Linked DNA regions of Cricetulus griseus. The protein of the gene in region 4 interacts with the protein of the main gene of each other region in a pairwise test. Links are inferred from orthologs where the notes say so. Each region holds a gene or a part of one and is shown on either strand. Other genes may lie near its edges. The genes, in order: Wwc1, Trim2, Golga4, Tnik, Sptbn1, Cnksr2 and Myt1l.

The links.
Region 1: the proteins of Tnik (region 4) and Wwc1 interact in a two-hybrid assay, tested with the Homo sapiens proteins (2 studies listed by BioGRID and IntAct). The link is inferred for Cricetulus griseus from reciprocal best matches to the Homo sapiens genes TNIK and WWC1.
Region 2: the proteins of Tnik (region 4) and Trim2 interact in a two-hybrid assay, tested with the Homo sapiens proteins (2 studies listed by BioGRID and IntAct). The link is inferred for Cricetulus griseus from reciprocal best matches to the Homo sapiens genes TNIK and TRIM2.
Region 3: the proteins of Tnik (region 4) and Golga4 interact in a two-hybrid assay, tested with the Homo sapiens proteins (2 studies listed by BioGRID and IntAct). The link is inferred for Cricetulus griseus from reciprocal best matches to the Homo sapiens genes TNIK and GOLGA4.
Region 5: the proteins of Tnik (region 4) and Sptbn1 interact in a two-hybrid assay, tested with the Homo sapiens proteins (2 studies listed by BioGRID and IntAct). The link is inferred for Cricetulus griseus from reciprocal best matches to the Homo sapiens genes TNIK and SPTBN1.
Region 6: the proteins of Tnik (region 4) and Cnksr2 interact in a two-hybrid assay, tested with the Homo sapiens proteins (2 studies listed by BioGRID and IntAct). The link is inferred for Cricetulus griseus from reciprocal best matches to the Homo sapiens genes TNIK and CNKSR2.
Region 7: the proteins of Tnik (region 4) and Myt1l interact in a two-hybrid assay, tested with the Homo sapiens proteins (2 studies listed by IntAct). The link is inferred for Cricetulus griseus from reciprocal best matches to the Homo sapiens genes TNIK and MYT1L.

What each region holds. Positions count from the first base shown.
Region 1 is NC_048600.1:50,876,423-50,878,675, reverse strand, and holds the end of Wwc1 (protein KIBRA), read left to right. Parts: intron 1-541; coding exon 542-663; intron 664-1,686; coding exon 1,687-1,753; downstream 1,754-2,253. UniProt on the Homo sapiens protein: Regulator of the Hippo signaling pathway, also known as the Salvador-Warts-Hippo (SWH) pathway.
Region 2 is NW_023276806.1:70,244,562-70,248,061, forward strand, and holds part of Trim2 (tripartite motif-containing protein 2), read left to right. Parts: intron 1-2,055; coding exon 2,056-2,208; 3' UTR 2,209-3,500. UniProt on the Homo sapiens protein: UBE2D1-dependent E3 ubiquitin-protein ligase that mediates the ubiquitination of NEFL and of phosphorylated BCL2L11. Plays a neuroprotective function. May play a role in neuronal rapid ischemic tolerance.
Region 3 is NC_048597.1:225,626,509-225,630,008, reverse strand, and holds part of Golga4 (golgin subfamily A member 4), read right to left. Parts: coding exon 573-3,500; intron 76-572; coding exon 1-75. UniProt on the Homo sapiens protein: Involved in vesicular trafficking at the Golgi apparatus level. May play a role in delivery of transport vesicles containing GPI-linked proteins from the trans-Golgi network through its interaction with MACF1. Involved in endosome-to-Golgi trafficking.
Region 4 is NW_023276806.1:120,727,922-120,732,013, forward strand, and holds the start of Tnik (TRAF2 and NCK-interacting protein kinase), read right to left. Parts: upstream 2,801-4,092; 5' UTR 2,393-2,800; coding exon 2,336-2,392; intron 1-2,335. UniProt on the Homo sapiens protein: Serine/threonine kinase that acts as an essential activator of the Wnt signaling pathway. Recruited to promoters of Wnt target genes and required to activate their expression. May act by phosphorylating TCF4/TCF7L2.
Region 5 is NW_023276807.1:77,212,564-77,216,063, reverse strand, and holds part of Sptbn1 (spectrin beta chain, non-erythrocytic 1), read right to left. Parts: coding exon 3,393-3,500; intron 1-3,392. UniProt on the Homo sapiens protein: Fodrin, which seems to be involved in secretion, interacts with calmodulin in a calcium-dependent manner and is thus candidate for the calcium-dependent movement of the cytoskeleton at the membrane.
Region 6 is NC_048604.1:93,005,677-93,009,176, reverse strand, and holds part of Cnksr2 (connector enhancer of kinase suppressor of ras 2), read left to right. Parts: intron 1-523; coding exon 524-597; intron 598-1,463; coding exon 1,464-1,535; intron 1,536-3,500.
Region 7 is NC_048600.1:31,917,859-31,921,358, reverse strand, and holds part of Myt1l (myelin transcription factor 1-like protein), read right to left. Parts: intron 470-3,500; coding exon 219-469; intron 1-218. UniProt on the Homo sapiens protein: Transcription factor that plays a key role in neuronal differentiation by specifically repressing expression of non-neuronal genes during neuron differentiation.

The DNA.
Region 1 (2,253 bases), on a different chromosome or scaffold from region 4:
GCTCAGTCTTAATTATCATAAATCTATATATTTTATAAGACTTATCAGACGCCTTATTGGCATCCCTCCTTGCCAGTGGATCACATTGTGCTGCTGGAGGAGGAGCAAGGGGAAAAAGGGACCCTTCCTGTTTCTCCTTCGCTTAAATATGAGTCTCCTTGCTATGTCACTTCCTGCTTGGATCACCACTTCTCTACTACATTTTCCAGAATCCTCTTTGACTCCTAGTCCCGTCTAACTAGCTGTCTCATTGGTCAAACAGTATTTTATTTAACAATCAATAAAATAAACATACACAGTACATTCCCCATCAGGTAAGGATGTACACCTCCCCGGGCATTTCATCTCATTTCCTACAGGCACACATAGGACTTCTGTTCCCTGGCCCCGTGCTCAGGCCTCATAGGTAGATGATGTGAGCACAGCCTGTTATCCTTCTGCATAAAGCAGATCCCATGGTACAATTTACACTGCTGAGAGCAAGCACTACAGAGCAGAGGACTCTCTCCCATGTCAAACCCTTGTTTGCTTTGCCTCACAGGTCGATCGTGCAGAACATAAGGGTGAGCTGCAAACAGATAAGATGATGAGGGCAGCTGCCAAGGATGTGCACAGGCTTCGAGGCCGGAGCTGTAAGGAGCCTCCAGAAGTGCAGTCTTTCAGGTGAGTCGGTGATCCCAGACTGATGCCTTCTGCTACCCAGTCAGCCCATCTTTACTGGCCTCACTGTTCCCAGACCGTGTTCCTGGGCATTGCCTCTGTTGCTAGCGGAGCTGTAGCCTGCACTGGAACAGCTGTTCATTCTCTGCCAGGCTCCCATAACGCTGTGAGCACTGTGTGCTGTTATCTGTCCCTGCACAACTCAGCCCAATTTGTGAGATCCTGTTGTTTAATGAATGAGCCACCTGCTTCATCCTTTCCTCTTAGCCTTCTGGTACTGGTAATTGCAGAGGCCTGGCTTGTGATGCGGGGGAGGGTGCTATGGATACTCACCTAATTTCCTGGCTTTGCCTGCCTGCCTGATAGGATCACAGCTTTATCTTTGCCCTGCTGGGCCTACACATATCAGAGGAGGGTCACAAGTGCCATTTGGCCTGGGCCTCCCAAAATAAAGGGATTTAGTCACCCTCCATCCACCACATTGTGAGTTCAAGGCCAACCTAGGGTTTCATGAGACCGTGTGTGTGTGTGTGTGTGTGTGTGTGTGTGTGTGTGTGTGTGTGTGTGTGTGTGTGTGTGTTGTGTTTCCTGTGTTGATCAAAAGATCTAATGGGTCCTTAACCAGGCATGATTTTGTCTCTTGTGTCACTGCAAGGGACATCTGGCAACATTGATACTTTATTTTTTTTTAAAGGTGGGTCTATGTTTCTAAGACTTCAGAAACATGGACTCGAGATATGTTTCTCTATCGGCCTCTTTTGTTTCTGGGACCAGAGACCTGTACCACTATGCTCAGAGTCTACAGGTTTCAGATTTTATAACCAGAGTTCAGACATGCTAATAGCATTTAGTAGCAGCCAGAGCTGTCACTAAATATCCTACAGTATATTGCAAAGAATGACCCAGCCCAGGGATTGGGACGTAGCTCAGTGGCAGATTGTGGCTTGGCATACATGATGCCCTGAGTTTCAGACCCAAAACAGAAAGACTTCCGAGTGACCTTGAGACACCTGTTCTCTATCACAGGGAGAAGATGGCATTTTTCACCCGGCCTCGGATGAACATTCCAGCTCTCTCTGCAGATGACGTCTAACCACCAGAAAAGTATTTTTTTGTTTCACGGACCATGCTGTGAAGGTTGACTGTGGCTAAAGTTATTTATGAGGCATTATATGAAGGTACCAAGTCACAAGTCCCCAAGCGCTCTTGTTGGTTTGAAGATGACAGACTTTTTAGTTCAGGTTTTCTTGTTATATTTAAACAATGACATAACAACAACAACAACAAACCAAACAAACAAACAAACAAAAAAACCAGCATTAAAATGACAAGATTGTATAGTTTGTATATTTAGGAATGTATTTTTGGGAAAGAAAATTTAAATGAACTAAAGCAGTGTTAAGTGGCTGCTAGTCTTCAAATTGTCTAGAGTTTTCTTTTTGTACAGCAACAACTTTTAGAGATTTCCCTGCAATAAAAAAAGTCATGTTTGGGGAACGATAACCCTCAAAAAGAAGTGCTGCAGACGGCACAGCACAGCTAACCTGCCCTAGGTAACGTATTTTGTACAATATTACAAAGAGGAGGATGTAC
Region 2 (3,500 bases), about 50 Mb from region 4:
TATTAAAAGAGACATTCAGGAATAGAGATGTATATAGCTCAGTTGGTAGAGTGCTTGTCTGGTGTGCACGAGGCCCTGAGTTCAATCCCCTCTACTGAGTAAGCTGATCGTGGTGGCATTGACTTGTAGTCTCAGCACACGGGAGATGGAGCCAGAAAGGTCAGCAGCTTAGGGTCATCCTTGAATACATAGCAAGTTTGGGGCTAGCCTGGACTACATGAGACCCTGTCTCAAAAGAGATCTCTACCAGTGGCCTCATTGTAGTGGGTAAGAGAGTCCAATATTTTAGAAGCCAGGAGCTGGACAAGTTACAAAGGCCCACAGATGCTGTTTGTATTTTGTGGTCCCATGATATCTACCTACTTACATTGCTTCTTAAAATGCCAAGTGGGCCAAGCAAAATGGTCCAAAGAAACCAACCTGGGCATTTGTAAAAGAGGAAATGTTATGAGTTGATTTGTACCTATTATTTCATCACAACAAAATCAGATAAACTTTTATAGTTAGGCAACTTTAAGCTGTTGCCTATCCAGATAGGCACATTGAACTATAGACTCCAACAAGGAAAAATGAAATCTCAATTTGTCAGTGCACATGTGACAGCCATTGTAATATAAGATGTACAACCAACAAGTTCTACATCAGTGCCTCCAGTCATGGAGGGAGCAGGGGAGAAAGCAAGTGTAAGTGGAGACAGAGTTGTGTGTTTGGGTCCTCAATAGGACACAGCAGATGGATTGAATGCACGTCACAAAGGGAGTTACTACATTGGCTTACATGCCTCAGATGGATGAGTCCAGCCATAGTCGTCTATATGTTGGAGAGACCAAGAAACTGGTAGCCTTCTCAGTCTACTAGGCTGCTGCCTCGGTGGTCCCAATCTGGCGTAGACTCTAGGCCCTAGAGCAGTGGTTCTCAATCTATGGGTTGAGACCCCTTAGGGGGAGACATATATCAAATATCCTGCATATCAGATATTTACATCATGACTCATAACAGTAGCAAAATTACAGTTATGAAGTAGCAATGAAATCATTTTATGGTTGAGGGTCACCGCAACATGAGGATCTGTAGTAAAGGGTTGCAGCATTAGGAAGGTTGAGAACCACTGGCCTAGAGGATTCTAAGAGAGCTTTGGGTCTTCTTCAGCCTGTGTTGAAAAGCTAAAGAATCTGGGTTCCAGCCGGGCAGTGGTGGTACAGGCCTTTAATCCCAGCACTTGAGAAGCAGAGGCAGGAGGATCTCTTGAGTTTGAGGCCAGCCTGATCTACAGAGCAAGTTCCAGGAAGAAGAAGAAGAAGAAGAAGAAGAGGAAGAGGAAGAAGAAGAAGAAGAAGAAGAAGAAGAAGAAGAAGAAGAAGAAGAAGAAGAAGAAGGAGAAGGAGAAGAAGAAGAAGAAGAAGAAGAAGAAGAAGAAGAAGAAGAAGAAGAAGAAGAAGAAGAAGAAGCTGGGTTCCTGTGAGCAAAGGTAGTGGCAGTAGCAACAACAAGGTGGATGCATTTACCAGCCACGACTGAAGGCAGTGGACCAAAAGCAATAACTTCTCTCTCAGACCTCCTTATGCCTGCACCACCACCAGGAGGTGCTGCCCATGCTGAGCAAGAATTACACCCCCTCCCCTCAGCTAATCTTTTCAGGAAATATACTTACGGATGTTCCTAGAAGCTATGTCATAGCTGTTTCCGGATCCAACCAAATCAACAACCAAGGTTAATCATCAAATTAATCATGAATCATGTGTGTACAGGGGCCTGCACAAACCTAGAAAGTTTATTTATTTATTTATTTATTTATTTATTTATTTATTTATTTATTTATTTATTTATTGAGACAGGGTTTCTCTGTGTAACAGCCCTGGCTGTTCTGGAATTCACTTTGTAGACCAGACTGGCCCTGAACTCACAGAGATCCACTTGCCTCTGCCTCCCGAGTGCTGGGATTAAAGGCTTACTCCACCACGGTCCAGCACCCAGAGGGCTCTTTACATACTTTTTAAAATTCATGTCCGTCAGCATATGTAACTTTGATGATGCTCTGATTTTATGTCTGTGCAGGTCTTCGATGGGAGTGGCTCATTTTTGTCCTATATCAACACATCGGCTGACCCTCTTTATGGCCCCCAAGGCCTGGCCCTAACTTCAGATGGCCATGTTGTGGTTGCAGACTCTGGAAACCACTGTTTCAAGGTCTATCGGTACTTACAGTAACAGCGGACACCCCTGCACTGAGGTCTTGCACTAGAAACTGGAACGGAGTTTTCAATGTGGGACCAGATTACAATAGGACTTTTCATACTAGGAAGAACCTTTGGTGAACTTTCCAAGGTTATTTCTGAATGTAACGATTTCCTTAAAAACTGCTTATCCAATTCCGTAATTCACTTTTAGGATTTAAAGAGAACCTCTTCTATTGAATCTATACAAGCTTCGAAGTTTTACACCTGTGAACTATGGCTTATAGGACAGGGATTTATGCAGTTAAACTAATTTTGCAAATCAGACATTAAAAGAATTAGCATATCTGTTGACCGGTGAATGAATGGTAGCCTTTGCATCGAGCTTCCAAGAACAAAACTTGTAGTTACCTATTTTATTTAACTTTGGTCACAAGACCCAAGGGACCTTCTAACCTCACTTTTACAGTAGATGTTATTACTGGTGACTTTTTGGGGGGTGGTTATCAACAACCATATATAAATTACTTTAGAAAAATCTAAGGCTGTCTTGCAAGATCCTCCCAGCTCTGACTCAGGGCCCTCTTGAGTTGAGCCCATCAGAATCAATGCAAATTTCCCAACCTTTCTGGGTTCGATCAAAGATCTTTTTCGTGTGTTCTCTTCACCTTCTCTTTCTACTCACCTTGCATCAGAAAATGAAATATAGCTTCAGGAAAACCTGAATTCCCGATGCTTTGAAAGGCATATGGCAAAAGCAAGGGGGACCTCTTGGTTGTTAGCTTCAGATCAACACACTGGGATGTAACCAAAAGAAGTCATGTTCATGCCATGTGTTCACATGTCTTTCCTCTTCCACATCATGAAAGCGAAAGCTTTACCTCCTGTAAAATGTCAGCACATGTAGTCAGACACCAGTGTCCTAGGACAGAGAGCCATAAGCAGCCCTTTGGAGGACAGATGGTGTCAACCAAAGGCATGTGATTGATTAATGACTTCCCCTTAGAGAACAAGTGTTACCAAAGTTCTGTTGAGCATTACAGGTACGGGCATGTTATGGTTATTTATCATTGTCTAATGAATAGTAGAGGCATTAAGGGACACGTATACATGGTTAGGGTAAGATAGAATGTATTATACATTTTATATATATATATATATATAGCTGAATCCATGGTGTGTGGAAATAGGAAGCACTCTGAAAGACAGCAGCATTGCCCAGCCTCCTTCAGCACATAACCTTGCTGCTGCAGTCTGAAGCCGTCCTGGTGGAGTGAGCCCTACAGCAGTTTTGAGTGTTGCCATTTTCCAGCACGATGCTGATGC
Region 3 (3,500 bases), on a different chromosome or scaffold from region 4:
AGCTGGGTATTAAACTCCCTCATCAGCTGCTTCAGGATGGAAGTGTGTTTCAACTCAAGATCCTCTTGCTCCTGTCTGAGTAACAAGAGTGGACAGCGGTGACAGCTGCCTCCAAAGAGCAAGTTACAAAGAGGTTTCAAAGCAGTTTGCACAATGTGCTCTCACTGTTAGGGAGGCAATTTTGAGTGTGAGTGTGTCCAGGTAGAGAAAACTAGAGATACCGAAACCCTGACTACCTCCAGTGACTGACCCTGGGGCCGGGGGAGCGGCTCTTTCCCACTTTAAACTTCTTCACTACACATGAATGTTACTGTCACAGTGTTATGCTAAAGACAGCCAACAATGAGACCATTACTCAAGACAAGGCAGCCAGCAGCTGCGATCTTACCCGCAAGACAAGGTGTGTCCCCTTAATGAACATGGAATAACACTGCCTTCTGCCCCAAATTTTCATTTCTCCTTAGCATTTAACTTACTGGATCTATGCAACGCTTTGGGAAGATACACGTGTCTCCATTACAGACTGTGTGTGCGTGCGAGCACCCACCCACCCAGGTGGGAACAGCACTCACTTGAGCTTCTCCTCCGCTTCCTGCGTGCACTCTCTCTTCAGGATGTCCAGCTCCTGCTGGTGCTCCTTTCTCAGCACACGAAGATCTTTCTGGAGCCTAGCCACCTCCCTGCTCAGCTTCTGCTTCTCCCGCTCTGCCCCTGCTAACTTTAACTCCAGGTCATTACGCTGGGTGTCCATGTTATTCCCCAATTTCGGTTGGATCACCTGCAATTTGGAATTTTCCTCAGAACTATCTTCCAAAATTTCCACAGATTTATTTTTCCCATCCATTTCTTGCTGTGAGGCTTGCGATTTCTCGTATTTTAAGGTCAACGTCTCCAATTCAAGTCTATGTGAGTCCCTCTCTCTTACTAAGTCTGACTCCAGTTCTTTTACCTTCTGTTCCAGGGTCTGGCAGGTTCGCTCCTTTTCCTGGAGGGTTTTCTGGACACTGTCAACCACACTTGCCCAGTTTTGCTTCATTCCTGTATTGTTTTTACCAGTTTCTTCTTCCATGGGCTGGGATGCAATGAAGGAACAGTTCATCTTCTTTTCTTCGAGTTCTTCTTGAAGACGTCCTATCAAAATCTGATCGTCCAGTTGTTTGGCTTGGGTGTGGTCTAACTTCATGGAGAACTGCATTTCAGACAGAGAGAACTTCGACTCACCTGTGCCCTGCTCCAACCTGTGCAGCAGCTTCTCTTTTTCAACTAATCTTCTCTGTAGTGCGAGGATCCTTTCTTCACACGCCTTGTGCGTACAGCCTTGGGAATCTGCTGCTTCTTGTTCGGAAGATGCTGCCACATTTTGTATGGATCTGGACATAATCACTGTCTCCGATTGTAGAGAACTTTCTAGGTTTTTAAGTTTTTCTTCCAGGATGTGAATTTGCTTTTCTCTGTCTTGTAATTTTGCATTCAGCTCACTCAACTGGCTTTCTGTATCTTTTTCATACTGCTGTTTTTTCTCTTCCATCTGAGACAGTAACTGCTTCCTGATGGCAGCGATTTTTTGCTCCGCCTTCCTCTTCAGCTCCACTTTTGAGGCACTTTCTAACTCGAGCTTGTCCTCTAAAGCTTTTAACTCCCCGTCTCTGCTTTTCACACTTGAACTCACATGTTCTAGCTCTTTCTTCATAATTCCAAGTTCAGTCTCCAGGGAGGACACTTGCTTTTCTAGTCTCAGGACATTTTCCTCAGCCTCCCTAACCCTGTTGTCTTTCTCCTCTCCCAGCTCTTCAAAGTGTTGAAGTTTCTGAACCAGTTCATTCCGCTCAGTGTCCTTCTCTTGGTTGGAATTCTTAAGTATTTCATTTAGGGACTCAACTTCTTTCCTCTTGTGAGCAATGCAGTCCTCTAACTCAACAACCCGAGCCGCCTGCACCTTTAACTCGGCCTCTAAGTCCCGCTCCTTCGTCTCCATCTCGTTCTTCCTGTCTGCCACCTCAGCCTTTAAACACTCCAGTCTTTCATTCTGCTGATCAAGGTCTTCCTTCAGCAGCTGTATCTGCTCACCCTTTTCAGCAGCCTCCTTGGCTTTCACGTCAAGCTGTGTCTGCAAGTCTTTAATAGTGCTCTGGTACTGTGCGAATCTGGGCTGGGCTTTTTTCTTCCACTCGGAGAACTTGTTGGACCAATGATCTACCTGCTCAAGAGCAGACATTTTCTCCTTACTCAGAGTGTCGACTTTCAGAGACAGCTCTTGCAGCTGACCCTGCAGCTCCATTTGTCGCTCCTCATGCTGCTTGCTCAGTGACGACATGGCTGCTGCTTTGTCACTTAGGCTGACGCTGTTCTCCAGCTGAGCACTGAGATCACTGAGCTGTGTGCGAAGGCTGTCAATCTCAGCCGTCTTCTCCGAAAGCTCTCCTCTCAGTAGTGTAACAGCATTGATGTTCTCTGATAACTCTTTCTTCAACTGTGTGATGCAAGACTCCTTTTCAGAGGCCGCCTGCTGCTGCTGGCCTCCTTCCTTCTGCAAGGCTTCCTTTTCTGTGACGAGACCCTCGATATCAGCCTTCATGGCCTTAATCTGGTTTTCTTTTTCTTCCAGCTGATGGGTGACCTGTTGAACAGAGCTCTTGAGTGTGTGTTGCTCTTCTGTCAGCTGTTTAAGCTGTGCTTCTAATTCAGAGACCTGGCCTGTTTTCATGAGCAGTGCCTCCCTAACTGTGGCGGTGTGCTGCCGGCAGCGCGAAAGCCTAGAGAGAATGGCATCTGTTTTGTCACCGCTGACGCTGAGCAGTTCATTTGTTTTAGCTTCTAACAAAGCTTTGGTTTTCTCACAGCGACTGTCTAACTGAGATGCGAGTTCCCCAAGCAGGGTTTTGAGGGTCAAGCTTTTGTCCTCTAGGCTCTTCCTACTGCTGTCCTGAGCAGCCCTGCAGCTGCGGAGCTCCTCCTCTGCAGCCTGCACCTTGCTCAGAAGCTCAGAGACCCTGAGCCTCCCCCTCTCACTCAGCACTTTCAGGTCCGCCAGCTCCTTCTCCAGAGAAGCCTTCTCCTTCAGAGAACAACCCAGATCCATCTCCAGCTTTTCAACTTGTGATTGCAACTGCGCCTCCTTCTGAGAAAGTGAGCCGATGTGGGCAGACTTCTGCTCTAGCTGTTCCTGCAGACGTGTGAGCACCGCACCCTGCTTAGCAGCCGCCTCCTTCAGCCCCACAGCTGCCTTGCTCACCTCCTCTTTTTCAGACTCCAGTGTGAGCAGCTTCTGCTTCAGCTCTGTCAGCTCTTGTTCCTTCTCCTCTACGCGCCGCTCATGCTGGTCCCGCAATTCTTCAGCCTGATGACTGAGTCTCTTTTCCCAGCACTCTGTGACGTCATCAAGTTTTCGCTGGTGAGCTTTGGTCAGGCTTTCAATCTGCTGCTTTTGGTTGGCCTCCAGTCTTGACACGGTGTCGCTGATCCCCGCTGAGTTGGCCTGTGCCATTTCCAGGATTTGGGCA
Region 4 (4,092 bases):
TAGCCCTGGGAGGCAAACGTACCTGCACGCCTCACCCACCACAAGACTGCCTGAAGCTCCAAGGCCTGCTGAGTACAACTGTCTGCCCATCTGCAGAAGTCTTTCAGCCATCAGCTCCCAGGCACAGGGAGTAGCTGTTGTCCTAGCTCTTTGCATACCCCAGTGAAGGCAGAGGATCCTTTGAGCTTCCCAGGTGACAAAGAGCAATCCTAGTGAATCATGCAAAGATACCTGTTCCAAATACAGATTACAGGACACAGGTCTCCCTGAATGAGAATCTAGTAGCCCTGAGGACAGGTTCTGTGCGCTAGGCATCTCAGAAAATCTGGCCCACAGGAGCCATACACCCGCCCCCCAACTTAAAAATCATGTCAGGGAGAATGATGCTAAGATTCTGTCTCAGCTAAATCACAAGCCTGGCTCATTGTTCAGGCAGCTACCACTTGGCCACTCCTCCTTCCCCAAGTCTGGGCCACTGGTCCAGGCAGAAGTGGAGCAAAAGAGAGCACAGTGATAAGAGAGTCACACATGCACTGGCCCAAAGCACCCACTCTGAGCCCCACCCCCACACTCAGTTGCCCCCTGGTTGCGGATGTGGCCTTTGGGCACTAGAGGAACGGACAGCCTACTGTAATCATGCATGAATGAGCTTTTGCTGCTCCACTATCACTGCAGCCCGCAGCCGGTTTCAAAGGGCAGTCAGTCAGTCCTCAGCCTGCCTCTCTGAATCCTCCACCTTTCTGGACCAAAAGATAAGGAAAGGGCCAAGGATTCAAGGTGTGGGCGGAAAAGTGGCTCTGAGCCTAAGGAAAAAGTATCACTTCAATCAGACAGGTAGCTACCTTTTAAAAATGTCTGTAGAGAAAGAGGTAACTGCAGGAAAAGCTTCCGAGACACAGGTAAATGGCCTCGAGATTAAGCATCATCAATCTAACAATGTGTTCAGGAAGATCACTCAACTTCCACCTATACTGACAGTCGGTGACATGAGCCACCATCCCTTCAGTCTCACCTACCCTACTGGCAACAAGCATATGCATTTGCTCTTTATTTTATTTTTAGTTCAGGAGAGGAAGAAACTAGTCGTACTGAGATTGGTGTCCAATCTTTCTCAGATCCCTGCTGCTGCCACCATCACCACCCCTCCTTACCCCCTTCCTGGCAGGCAGCATCTAATTAAAATGGCAAGAACGCTGGGCTCCCTTCCCCGAAGGAGTGTGCTGGGATTAGGGGTGGGGGTGGGGAAGCGTCGAAGCTGCAATGGGGTTCCTGGCAGTATGATCTCCAAACAACAGCAAAATGGATTCTAGATCACTAAAGTCTTATTCAATACAATGGAACGACGTCTGAGGTGTCTCGGAAGAAGGTAAAGGCAAAGCGGCAGAGTTGGGGGAAGGGAAGGTGTTCTACAAAGGACTGGTCACAGACCCGGGAACCACACACACACACACACACACACACACACACACACACACACACACACACACACACGCACACACAGTCTCTCCAGGGAGTTCCGGTGTGGTAGGGAGAAGCTGCTAAAGCGTCCCTTTCACCTGCTGAAGTTCAGCCATAAAACTGAAAGGTCACAGTCACCGAGTTAGAAAGGCATAGGCAGGGCTGAGTTCAAACCGCAGATAAAGGTGAGTGCACCCTGGCGTCGAGGGAAGCGCTGAGCCTGAGCCCCCGCACCAGAGGCAGAACCCGGGAGGGGTCAGTTGCCATCTACTAGACCAGCCCGGAACAGCAATTACTGCCCCCTTGGAGCGACAGGGTCGGCTGGTGGAGACAGCTAGACTCACGATGGCATCTTGCAGGTAGCTGGCAAACCTGAGAGGCCAGTGCCTTTATTCTTGAGGAAATTCTTTTTGCAGCAAAGAGCAGTCGGGTCTCGAGCCTTGGCAAGAGACAGTTGCTCGGGTACACACACACACACACACACACACACACACACACACACACACACACACACACACACACACACACACACACACACACACTCCTTCCATGTAATTCTCTTACACCAATCGAAGATGAAACTGACATAAGCTCCACCGGCTTCCCTGCGGAGCCTCGGGAAGCACAGTCGAGGAGCACAAGGGCAGCCCAGCCCCTGCTGTAGGGTAGGGGCTCAGCCTAGAACCCCATCCGCTGCCCTGGAATCAGGATAGGAAGACCGGGAACGTTCCCTCGCCCAGCCCCAGACCATTGAAAAGAAAGGGGGGAAAACAAACAAACATACACACACACACACACACACACACACACAAAAAAAAAAAAAAAAAAAAAAAAAAAAAAAAAAAAAAAAAAAAAAAAAAAACCACGTTCTGCTCACCCTCAGGGCGGAGAGATCGATTTCATCCAGGCTGCGAGCTGGGGAGTCGCTCGCCATGTCGACTCTTCGCGGGAGAAATGGACCAAAACCAGCCAGAAACGTCTGCCTTGGCAATTCCACCCTGGTCTATGTCGCTCGCGTCCTCATGCGGCTGTCCGCCAGAGAGGCCCGGGGCCCAGCCTCCCCCGCCCACCCGGGCCCCAACCAGAGTGAGATCCCGATCTTCCGAGAGTGTCGATCCGCGGGATCCCGGAGCCCGACCTGCGCGGATCTCCAAGCCCGGAGCCGCGGTGCGTGTGGGCTGCGCGCCCTGATCGGCTAAGGGCGCTGGGGCTGCGTGGGTGTATTTAAATGGGACATGCTTCTTTGCTTGTGCGTGGATGGCGGCTGCATTGGCTGTTATAATGAGACATATCAACTCCTCCACTCAGCTGGGGGGGTGGGGGTGGAGAACCACACAGAACTGTCTATCACCGCTTCCTGGGAGGAGTGGGGGGGAGGAGGCGTGGTCTCCGACTGGGGAGAGGCCGCGCTTCCTGACCGGGTCCCTCTGCACTAGCCTGGGTGGGGGAGGGGCGCGCACCCTTTCCGTCCCAGTTTTTGCGGGTTAATAGTGCTGAATCGAAGAGCAGATCTTGAACCTCGCTGTACAGAGATCCGAAGGCTATTTTTTAATGTGTCCAATTTGTGCAATGCACCAAAATGGCCCTTCGATCGCATCTTGGGGTTTCTTGACTGGATTCAGATGCTCTAATAGTGTAAAGGGTGGTGAGGAAAGGCAGCGGGAAAAGACAGCAGCGTCCAGCCTCCTCCATTAATTATTTGTGGGGCTGGAGTAAAGGCGGGCCGGTGCAACCGGTGCATATAAGGACTTGTGCGCAGGAAAGGGGATCCGCCTCCCCGCACAGAGCGGGTTGGGGAGAAGCTTACACGCGCGGAGCGCGCAGCCTGGCTTTGGCGCTGGGCAGTGGCCGCCTGGTCTCGGTCCTTCGCGGTCCCTGAGTTTCAGGAAGGCAGGTCCGTTTCATCCGTAGTTTTCTCAGCTGGGTGGGTTGGCCAGAAGGTGGAAAGCCTGGAGATGTGAGCTCCGTCTCGACATCGCCACACCCAAGACCTGCGCGTACCGCAATTCCCCATGGAAATGACCGAATTGAAAAGCAAAGCTTGCTCCTTGGGTGCAGTAGCTGGAAGGCTTCAGGTGACTCCCAGAACGACATTAATTGGGCGACACTCCGCCGCCAAAGCCAGCGTTTCCTTCTCTGCTGCTTTTCCCTGGTGACCTACCAGGATTGATGGGGAAAGTTTAGCTCAGAGAGAGGAAGAGCTGACATGTTAGCAATTTGACTTCACCTGCTTTTTAACTCAAACGCTGGGTGTTTGCAGTGGTAACAGGACTTTCTGTTATCAAAAATGTGAAATCACTTCCCCAGCCCCCACAGACCTTCCTCTCTCCTGGTTTGGCCACGCAAAATACGTTTGAAGAAGACATTAATACTGAACTCTCTCCATTCCCTTCATCAATAGCTCCTAGGGTGTTCCTTTCACATCTAAGACAAGAGAACAAGTGCATTGCATTGCGGGTTTGGGTTTTTACTTTGCTTTTTGTTTTGCTTTCTTTGGGGGTGGGGGAAGGACCTCATGTACTTTAGCGTGGCTTCTAATTCACTGTGGAGCTAAGGGTGGCCTTGAACTCATCCTCCTGCAAACACTTCCCAAGTGCTTGGATTACAAGTGTACACCAACACCTGGGCTGCTGC
Region 5 (3,500 bases), on a different chromosome or scaffold from region 4:
AATGAAACAAATGAAATGTACAGGAACACAGACAGGGTAGCTGAGGAAAGGTTCCCCACAGGTACCCTGAGACGTAAAGACATTGTTTTGCAGGGGCACATCTAGGTATATTCTCCTTGACTGGCTGGGTGTGGTAGCACACACCTATAATCCCCAAACTTGAGGTAGATGCAGGAGGATCAGGAGCTCAAGGTCACCTTCAGCTAAATAGTGAATTCCATGCCAGCCTGGGCTACATAAGATCCTAACTTCAAAAGCGGGTCGGGGTGGGGGTAGGGGGTGACAGATGGCTCAGCAGGTAAAGGCATGGGTCATATAAGCGTGATGATCTGAGTTTTAATGTCGAAACGCACACACAATGGTAGAAGGAGGGGACCAACTCTAGAGTTGTCATCTTACCCACACATGTACAGCTAAGGTATGCATGCCTCCACAACACACACCAATATTTCTTTTAAAGTTAACACTCTTTCTGTGCCAAAAGGGTGAAAAACAGGCTATCACTTTAGATAATGGTGGGGGTTTTCCATTATAATAAAACCAGTGACCCTTCTTCCTTCCTTCCCTTCCCTTCCCTTCCCTTCCCTTCCTTTTTTTGAGACAAAGTCTCTCTTCTCTATCTTTATGTAGCCCTGGCTATCCTGAAACTCACCATGTCAGCTGGCCTCAAGCTCACAGAGGTTTACCCGCCTCTGCCTCCCGAGTACTGGGACTAAATGTGTGTGCCATCACACCTGCTGACTATCTAATACTTAGATGTGTATTTTTACTATGTTGTATATAAAACACTTAACATATTAGCAGTGTCATACATTGAGACACAAACCCGACATTTTCTGGAGATAAAATTATGTGACCAAAGTCTACAGACAATAGTCCTGGATGAGCCTTTGGATGTCTGTAAGAAGTAGCTGGAAAAATGCCAGGTAAGGACCTTCCAGGGACAATGAGATGGGGACACCCAATGCTGTGAATTGGGAGAAGGTAGACTATGACCATTAATTGTACAAATGGATTTTAAGTGGTGGCAAGAACATGAAATTTCTGAAAAAATATACACAGAAGAATCAATGGGATTTGGTTTACACATCTGAAGGCACTGGGTGTAATGATTTCACTAGACCCATGATAAATGATAAATGGGTGTTTATTGGGGACACTTACACAGAAAGATATAAAGAACCATGGAAGCACTTCTCTCCCCTTCCCTCCAGATCAGCTGACCCAAGAGAAAAGATCTGTGCAAGAGAGACCACACTTTAGCTTCCCTCTTTCTGCTTTAGTCTGCCTGAAGCCACACCCAAAGGGGTGTGGCCACCATTTCAGGTTGACAGGCAAGACACTGACTGCTACACACATCTATGGTACTTTGAGAAATAGTCTCTAATACCAAACTACTTTTAAGGTATGTATTTCAGACTATCATGAGCAAGTTTGTAGGAAATGACTTGAAAATCAATTTTCCTATCATCCAAACATCCAAATCATCATTTCTTGTGTCTGTTTTTTTTTTTTTTTTTCTTATAGATTCTCAAAATAAAAGGTGGGAGAAGCTAACACAGGGAAAATTCACACAGCAATTAAGTACTCAAGACTGTTCCTGATTGACTGCTCCCTTCCCACTGCTGTACCCCTATATGGAATGGAAACAGTGGCAGGTCAAGGCAGCACAAGAGAACACAGCCAAACAGACGAGGAGCCTGTGCCAGGGCCGCCTTCTCCTTTGTACTGATTCGATAGGGGAGTGCTTGCAGGAGGGACACACATCTTTTTATGGCTCGAAATTGCTTTCTCAGTGAGATGGTAAGGTAGGTGCAATCCAGCAGGCTTAAGGGAGTTGGTTTTTGTTCTATGGGTATTAAGACTCACCATTCTCGTGAGGCAAAGCGATTTAAATAAAAACAGGAAACCACTTTCACCATCTCTTGAGCCTCCTATAGTTCTAAAGAAAATAGTTTTACAAATGCAGAGGAAAGATCTGTTTCCTGATAGTCTCTAGGTATCTCAAAAGTGCTCCTTAGCATTTGTTATATGACTGGGACAGTGTCAGATCTTACCCTAGGGCTTATGTCTTACAAGAATTGTTTCAATCCTCAAAGCATCAGGAAACTAAAGTGTAGAGGAGTAGGTTAACTCCCAGCCACAGAAAGTGGCAGAACCAAGAATCTAAATGGAGGTCAGAAGATAATGGCAGTCACGAGGATCCCTCCACAGAACAAGTCAAAGTACTGGCGCATAGTGAAGCTGATGATACTCAACTGAAACCACCAGGGCCAAGTGTGGGCCTTTATTGGTGGGGATGTGGGTTAATTATTTACTGGAACATAGCCTCTGCCCATTCATTTACCCACTGGGTTGCTTATCCTAAAACAGCAGCACAGCATCTGTATCCAATAGAGATAGCATAGCCACAAAGTCAAAACTATATACCATCTGGTCTCCTACTGACCCTGCAGTAACCCGTTTTTTTTTTTTTTTTTTTCTTAATAAGTCCTGACCAGCTCAGGATTAGAAAGTCAAACAAAACCAGCTTCTTCTCTAGAAAGCATTTTCAACTGCAAGATCTCAGACTAATCAGGAAGCTACCGAGATTAGAAGGCGATGAGAGTGATCACATTGGAGTCTCACTGCTACACTGTTCACTTTGTCAACACCTTTGAAGCACAGTTTCAGTGCTAAGCCACTTACTGCAGTGCTGGAGCTAAAAGATCAGGTGTGTTAAAACGTTAGGGTCTAGTCTCTACTAGGAAGAAGATCCAAAGAGAAAAGAAGAGATCTTGGGGATAGGGATGAGGAGAAAGTAATGAAATATATACCACAAGAAAGCAGAAGTGGGGCCATCTGAGGAAAGGAAGGGAAGTAGGGTCAGGGAACAAGGAGTGGGGCAGTGGGGAAAGGGGAATAATGGAAACAAATATAAAACACCCATTTATCAATATGACTTCAGATTTATCAATTTGTCTGCTAACCTAAAAAATTAATGAAAATAATCAATGCAGAAAAATAAACTAATATTATTCAAATAAAAAAGTATAGATTTCTTTCTTGGGATGGTTGGTGGGAAAAAAATGAGGTATTATTTTCCAAGTGATCCTGATGGTCATGTTAACTAATAGAAACTTGTATTCAGGCCTATTAACTTGCAAATGCTTACATGTGCCTCTACTAATTTAAACACCAGCATTTTCATCTAACAATATTTGCAAGCATGACAAATTCAAAACTGTACAGACTGCAAAGCTTTCCTGTGTGTGGAGTTTGTGTGTACACACGTGTTTAATCTGGGTAGTCATTTCAGATATGTTCTGAGTAGCCATGGGATACAGAGAGGCTCATGATGCACAAAGATAATCTTACAAGGAGCCTTCCTTGCACTGGGCAGCTCCACCCACCTGAGTGCCCAGAGCCTGGATATCATGCTCAAAGGTGGTGTGCATTCTCTGTAGGGTCTCCACAGTGTTCTGATCTCGTCCAAGCTCCTCAGGGAGTTTCTTGTGTTT
Region 6 (3,500 bases), on a different chromosome or scaffold from region 4:
AACTCTGTCAGGCAACAGACATGCACATGATGCTCTTACATGCATTCTGAAAAAACAAGTCTTACACATAAATTCCTCTTCTTAAAATGATAGAAAATTTTGTACTAAAAATGTACAGCTATTTTGTTTATTTGGCCTGAAATGTTCTTCCCTTTTACTTTGTTGTTGTTTATGTTCTAAAGATCAAACCCAGAGCTCAATACTTCCTGCACAAATGAGCACTCTACCACTAAACTACTTCTTCGGCCCCCAAAATTTTTTATAAAACATGTTTTACTTTGAAAGTTATTTTCTATACTCATTTTAATATAAAAATAATGTGTGTATTTTAATTTTTAGAAATTCTAAGTTTTCAAAATATTCCTTTAAACTGTGGATATGTAGAATTAATGAAATGCAAGTGGAATTATTAACTAAATGAGTAGCACATTTATTACTCTAAATATTTAAGTCATACTTACATGGTTTAATTAGCTTCAGACCTCGTTGGTATTATACATTAACAAAAATGTTGTTTGTTTAGGATGAAAAAGCAGAAGGATTCATCAGTCTGCCTGAATTTAAAATTGATAGAGCCAGTGAATGCCGCAAGAAATAGTAAGTTAAATTTTCTTGGAGAAAGGGGGAAGAAGGGATAATTTATTTTGTAATTTTCTAGATTTTAAGTTATAGTTTAGCAGAAGCTTTGAAATTAAAATTATAAGAAAGTAGTTTCAGGGATATAGCATGAAATTTTACTTAATTAATTCTGTCATGATAGAAGCATTATGTATGTGAAGTTAGGTTAGACATTGCATTAATTTTATTCATAAATATTTAGTTTGAGCCAGCAAGATGTCTCATGATTACATGCAATCCCGATGACCCAAATTCAATCCTAGAATCCATGGTTAGAGGGAACCAGTTCTTAAAAGCTTTTCTTTGGCATGTGCACATACATAAAAACACCAGTGATGATAATGTTAATAATAAATAAACAAAATAGAATACTTTTGGTTTTATTTCAAGACAAGAGTTTCACATTGTAGCTCTGGCTGTCCTGGAACTCTCTGTAGACCAAGCTGGCCTCGAATTGAACAGAGGTCTGTCTGACTCTGCCTCCTGGGTGCTGGGATAAAGGTGTGTGCCACCATACAGGTTTCAAATTATAATTTTATTAAAAATTTTTCAGGCAATATATTGATCACATTCTTTTGCCTGTCCCAATTCTAATACAAAATTTTAAAGGTATTTGAATTAAAACCTTTTTACATTTTGTAAAAAAGTAAATGTAAGCCAGGCATTGGTGCACACCTTTAATCCCAGCACTCGGGAGGCAGAGGCAGGTGGATCTCTGTGAGTTCGAGGCCAGCCTGGTCTCCAGAGCGAGTGCCAGGATAGGCTCCAAAGCTACACAGAGAAACCGTGTCTCAAAAAACCAAAAAGAAGTAAATGTAACTCATTTTTTGTGGTTATATTCACAGTGCATTCAAAGCCTGCCATCCTAAAATCAAAAGCTTTTATTTTGCTGCTGAACATCTTGATGACATGAACAGGTAAAGTATTATTTACATCTCAAATTACTTAATTAAGCATTGTCTTCAATAATTTTTAAAGACTCCCATTGTAGATTCTGTATTAATTAATGAAAATTTGAGTAGTCCAGCTATAGTTGCATATGATTATACTTCATTTTACAAAAAATTGCCTAATTCATTATTTAAATTTCACATGCACACAATACAATTCATATTTAAATAATAATAATGGATAACATTTTAGAACTTCAACTTTTGTTGACTGTCAATTCTAACACAAAAGTACGATAACAAATATAAATCCAAAATATTACCACAAAAGGGGTTGTTTTTAGATGTTAAATTTAAGGAGATTTCTTAACATGTATTTCTAAATTCTCTAAAAGGCACACAAAACCTGACTTACTCAAGTCCTAAGTATATTTGGTAGAATATACATTTCAATAATTTAGGTCTACTATCTAATGTAGTAATTCTTCTTATCACCTTCATCTGTCACTGGACAGGCTTATATAGCCAACTGGTTTGATGGCTGTGTTTATTTGGTGGCTAAAGGAAAACCTACGTATAGTTTCCTCTTTGTATCCCACATTGTTTCACGATACAATTTTAGTCATTTAAAGCTACTTTTCTTTATTTCCTTTCATTTTCCTTTTCTATTTAAAAAAATTATAGAAACTGGGCATAAAATGAAAATGTCCTCCGTTTTATAATTGCAGAAGCCAATGTATATTGTGTATAATTTCCCTACATTTAGGAAGAGGCATCAAAGACTAGTGACCAGAACTGTGACCTTTTAGACAAGACTGAATCCTAGATTACAACTCATTAGCTATGTAACCTTATGCAAGAAACTTAGCTTTTCTGTACTAAATAAATGACCCATTTATATAAATGAGAAAAATCGCCCTTAGTAGGTTTTTTTTATGCAACCTAAGTCTTCAGTAGTAATAAGCATTAGTGTTTATATACTTTTGTTCTCTTACCTCATTTACTTTTCTTTAGATGCCTTTAATGATACCTGAACATTTTAAGCACAAAATTGTGCTGCTTCATGGTTTTATCCCTAGTATTTACTTTCAATAGGCAATTTTTAAAAACACTTGAGTTTTTGTTGTTTTTTGATGAAATTATTTTTTATAAATTTTTATTTAAATTAGAAACAAGCTTCTTTTACACATCAATCTCAGTTCCCTCCTCCTCCCTTCCTCCCCTCCTCCCCTACCCCCCACTGGCCTCCTATCGCATCCCCTTTCTGCTCCCCAGGGAGGATGAGGCCTTCCATGGGGATCTTAAAAGTCTGTCATATCATTTGGAGCAGGGCCTAGGTCCTCCCCCCATGTGTCTAGGGTGAGAGAGTATCTCTCCATGGGGAATAATCTGGCTCAGTCATTAAAGGCTAGGCTCACAACCAAAAATATAAAAAAAAATGCTTGTTAATGGGATAAAATAGTCAGTGCTAAAAACATTTACATATTAGTAGTGATCTGGAACGGTACCCATGTAAAGCTTTGTTTGGTTACCTGATTATTATTATACATTAACAAGATAATGTGGGTATTGCTTTATTCCATATGTAATCTTTGAAAGCATGCCTAATTCAAGAGAGGATATATTTTTAAATGAACATAATCATAGTTAATACATGCTTTATCTGGTTATTTTATGGCTTTAAAGGGCATTATTTTTGTATTACATTATAGCACAGTACAAAATAATATATATTTGTACTCTAAATTTTTTTCAAAAGTATGTAATGCCAGTAGTAACAGGACCTAGTAATTAGGGTATAAAAGTATTCATTAAATTCAGTTTTTCCATAAAATCTGTATACACAGATATGTGCACTTTCTCTCTCTCTCTCTCTCTCTCTCTCTCTCTCTCTCTCTCTCTCTCTCTCTGTGTGTGTGTGTGTGTGTGGTGTGTGTGTGTGTGTGTGTGTGTGTGTGTGTGTGTGTCCTTTTAACTAAGATTCCTGGTAGA
Region 7 (3,500 bases), on a different chromosome or scaffold from region 4:
ATGTCAAGCTGCACCTTTTTTTTTTTTGGCTTTGTGTACCCTGAAGTTGAGATATCATAAAGGCCATGGGTGATGGTTGTGTTAATGTCCCAGACACAAGCTAGAGTTAGAGGTGACAAAGACACCTGTCCACTGTTCTGAGGTACAGGGCTGTAGGGCTGGCAGCGAGTCAACTCATAGCCAGCTCCCTCGTGACACAGCTGAGGTCCTGGGCATACCCGGGCGGTGCACAGGTCCTGGGGCTTGGTGGACAGGTTCTGTGGCATTTCACGGCAACGTGTGGACAGGTTGAGGATGGCTGTGGCTGCCATGTGTGCGGCCTCCATGTCATGTGTGTAGTCAAAGCTGCTCTTGCTACACGTGCTACTGGCGCTGCTGCCACCACCGCAGCTGAGGTTGCTGCTGCTGCTGGGCGCATAACTGCTGGTGGTGCTGCTGCTGGGGCTGGCATTCTTGCAGTACCGCTTGGCTGGAGAGACAGAGGACAGTGTGGTTAGGCCCTGCACTCAGGATGCTGCACACACAAACTGGTCCCAACCCACCCATCTTTACACACACAGAAATGGGGGTTATTCATTCTTCCCAGTCTACACTGTTCATGCTTGAATGAACAGAGTATTGGGGGTGACCCTGTGAGAGGATCAGCCCTGCTTTGACTGATCATGACTGCTGCACCATCTACATATTTGGGTAAACAGGACTTGGCTACTATACATGACTGATCCATTAAGAGTCTGACCACTCTTTCTAGCCATATGTGTAGTTGGCCCAGATTCTCAGGATACCCAAGAATCATCACTAAGGCTGTGGGGACTATGGGCTTTGTGAGAAAGTTTCTGGTATGGCATGTGTACCAGATATTGTGAGCCAAACACTTCTATCCTGTAATTGTTACACAGGCTTCTAGAGTTAAAGGGAAGAGTGAGCTTGGCATATACCTAAGGACAACTATCTGTCCCTGGCAAATGTGGGACACCAGAGGGCAGCTGGGTCAGCTCTTCATCTGCCTGCAGGGGGTCTTTCCTTGCAGATCCTTTGATCAGCTTCCTTTTATGCCAGCACCTTCAAAAGCAGCCACCAAGTACTTGGGAGTGAGGGTTAATTTTCAGAGCTGCTTAACATGTCTCTCCTTCAAGGTTGATTCATTAGGATGGGTTCTTTTCACTAACACAGAAGCACTTCTAGTTGAGTGCACAGGATATTCATTTTCACCAAGACTAGATATTCAACATAGAGATACCATGTTTACCCTCCTCAGAGTGATGAAATACATAAAGGGAACTGTTAAGGGGGCAGAGAATGGCACTAGGGGTCAGGCATGTACATGGACCAGCTTGGCTAGGCTAGTGCAATGCTTAGGGCTTTCCCCCACAGGCAATAGCTACCTTAGTCACTCTTGTAGTAACCTGTACCTGTGAGAAGCCTTGTGGATGGCTACTGCTCTCTGGGATTGAGGCCTTGGGGTCATTAGCTGCTCTGTACCTAGAGCTTGATCTTGACAATTGTCCTCCAAAAAGGACAAAAATACACAAAATGAACCATAAACCTTCTAAAAAGAGTTAACACAGGCTTTGTAGGTCATACTATAACATCTCCAAACACAAATGAACAACCATAGTGAAATAATCCTATCTGGTAATGTGAGTCTCGATTAAATGTTGCCTGCTAAAGACTCGGGGGAGGTATGGTAATGGGAAAACATTTTAATAAAACTGAGGTTACTTCAGTTGAGGCCATGATGACCAGATCCTGGGGTAAGAGTGACCACCCCATTCTAATGTCACCCAGGACACTAGGAAACAAATTGCATAAGCGACTGTTTCATCCAGATTCCTTCCAAGGGACCACAGTCAGTTTCCAATAAAGCTCATGGAGGGCCATCAGCCACTTGGACACACTGTTAATTCTGCAGGGCTAGTGAGTCAATCAGCCTCAGAGAAGCACAGGGGCAACTCCTGCACTGGGTAGGATGAGGGTTCAGTGGCTACCTATTCATTCTCTGCTCTCTCTTTTGTAAGTTCCATTAGTATGACTGTAGAACTATGTGTGTGAGAATAGTGGATTTAGACCAAGCACAGCTTACACCAGGGTGCCTGAGTGACTGAACAAAGAACTGTACAGGGGCACCAGGCAGAGGCCTACACATGGGCAATGAGGGTTACACTTGCCATGCTTTGAAATGTGAATGTCAACTCAATGATTCTGCATCATCAAAATATTTGATAAAAAAACAAGACATGAAAATACTACAAAAATTCAATACCACATATGAAGGTGCCTTTGGGATAAGGCTAACCACATAGCTCAGGCTGGTCTAGACCTGAAGAACCTACTGCATCTACCCAACAAATCAAATGCTGGTGTTATAGGCATTTACTACCACTTTCCAAGAGGGTTTTATTTTGTTTTCTTTTTAAATGGGGAAGGCTAGTCACCCGTCCAGGAAAAAACCAACATGGTATCTTCTTGTTTCATTTTTGAGACAGGGTCTCACTATGTAAGGCTATGTCAGAGCAAGAGGATGGCATTCCCATTCAGTTCTGTGGGCACAGAGCTAAGGGACAGCAGGCAGTTGGCCTGCAGCATCCTGTCCCGTGGTAATTGCTTCCCAGGCCAAATATGGCAGATTCTCTAACTTCCCACCTCCCTGTGGACTGACGCTGCTGCAGATCCATCTCTCAGATACAGACACTGAGGCTGTTCAGGGCTGTTCAGGGCCACAGCAGACAGAGAAGCACCCGGGCTGTAGTCCAGGAGCCTTGTGTCCTGTACTGCCCCAGCATTTCATGTGCCCAAAACACTACATCTGTGGGCCACATTTTACTAAAATAAATCTTAAAAATGATTGCATTTCTCTCATCTTACTTTGATCACTTTCTTTTATCTTGAAGTTGTAAGTGTAAATATGTTGGTGCCTATACTTTTCTAGGGGTTTAAGTCATGGAGATGATGCCTGCATTCTGACAATTTGGCAGTGCAGAAGTTTAGAGGTGACTGAACTATTGGTAAATCCTCTATGCACTTGCCCATTCCCATCAGGCATACAACCAGGGTGATATTCACATCTGTACTGCTCCTTTTACTGGGTCTAATAATTTTTGTTTTATGCAAAATGAAATTAACAGTACCTGTACTTTAAGTAATTCAAGAAAGCAATGTCTTTCATCCTGCTAACACTGCTGATATCCACAGAACTGTCAGTCTGAGTCACTAAGGCCACACTCAGCAAGGCATTCATTCATGGTGCTGAGGCCCGAAGTACTGCATAGTGAGGGCATCTACTTGGATGCTCCTGTCACTGTCCTCCCCCATGTCTGACCAGAATAACAGTGGCATAATGCATTTAATTTTTCTTAGCAAAAAAAGTTCTATTTCATATGAAACTGTGTATCCTTGGTGCCAACAGATGATGGGAAATGAGAATGTGAAGGCTTCTACCCTAGAGGCCACCGGTGGTTGATAGCCAGGCAGCCACATTGAGTGCCACATGTGCTTACATT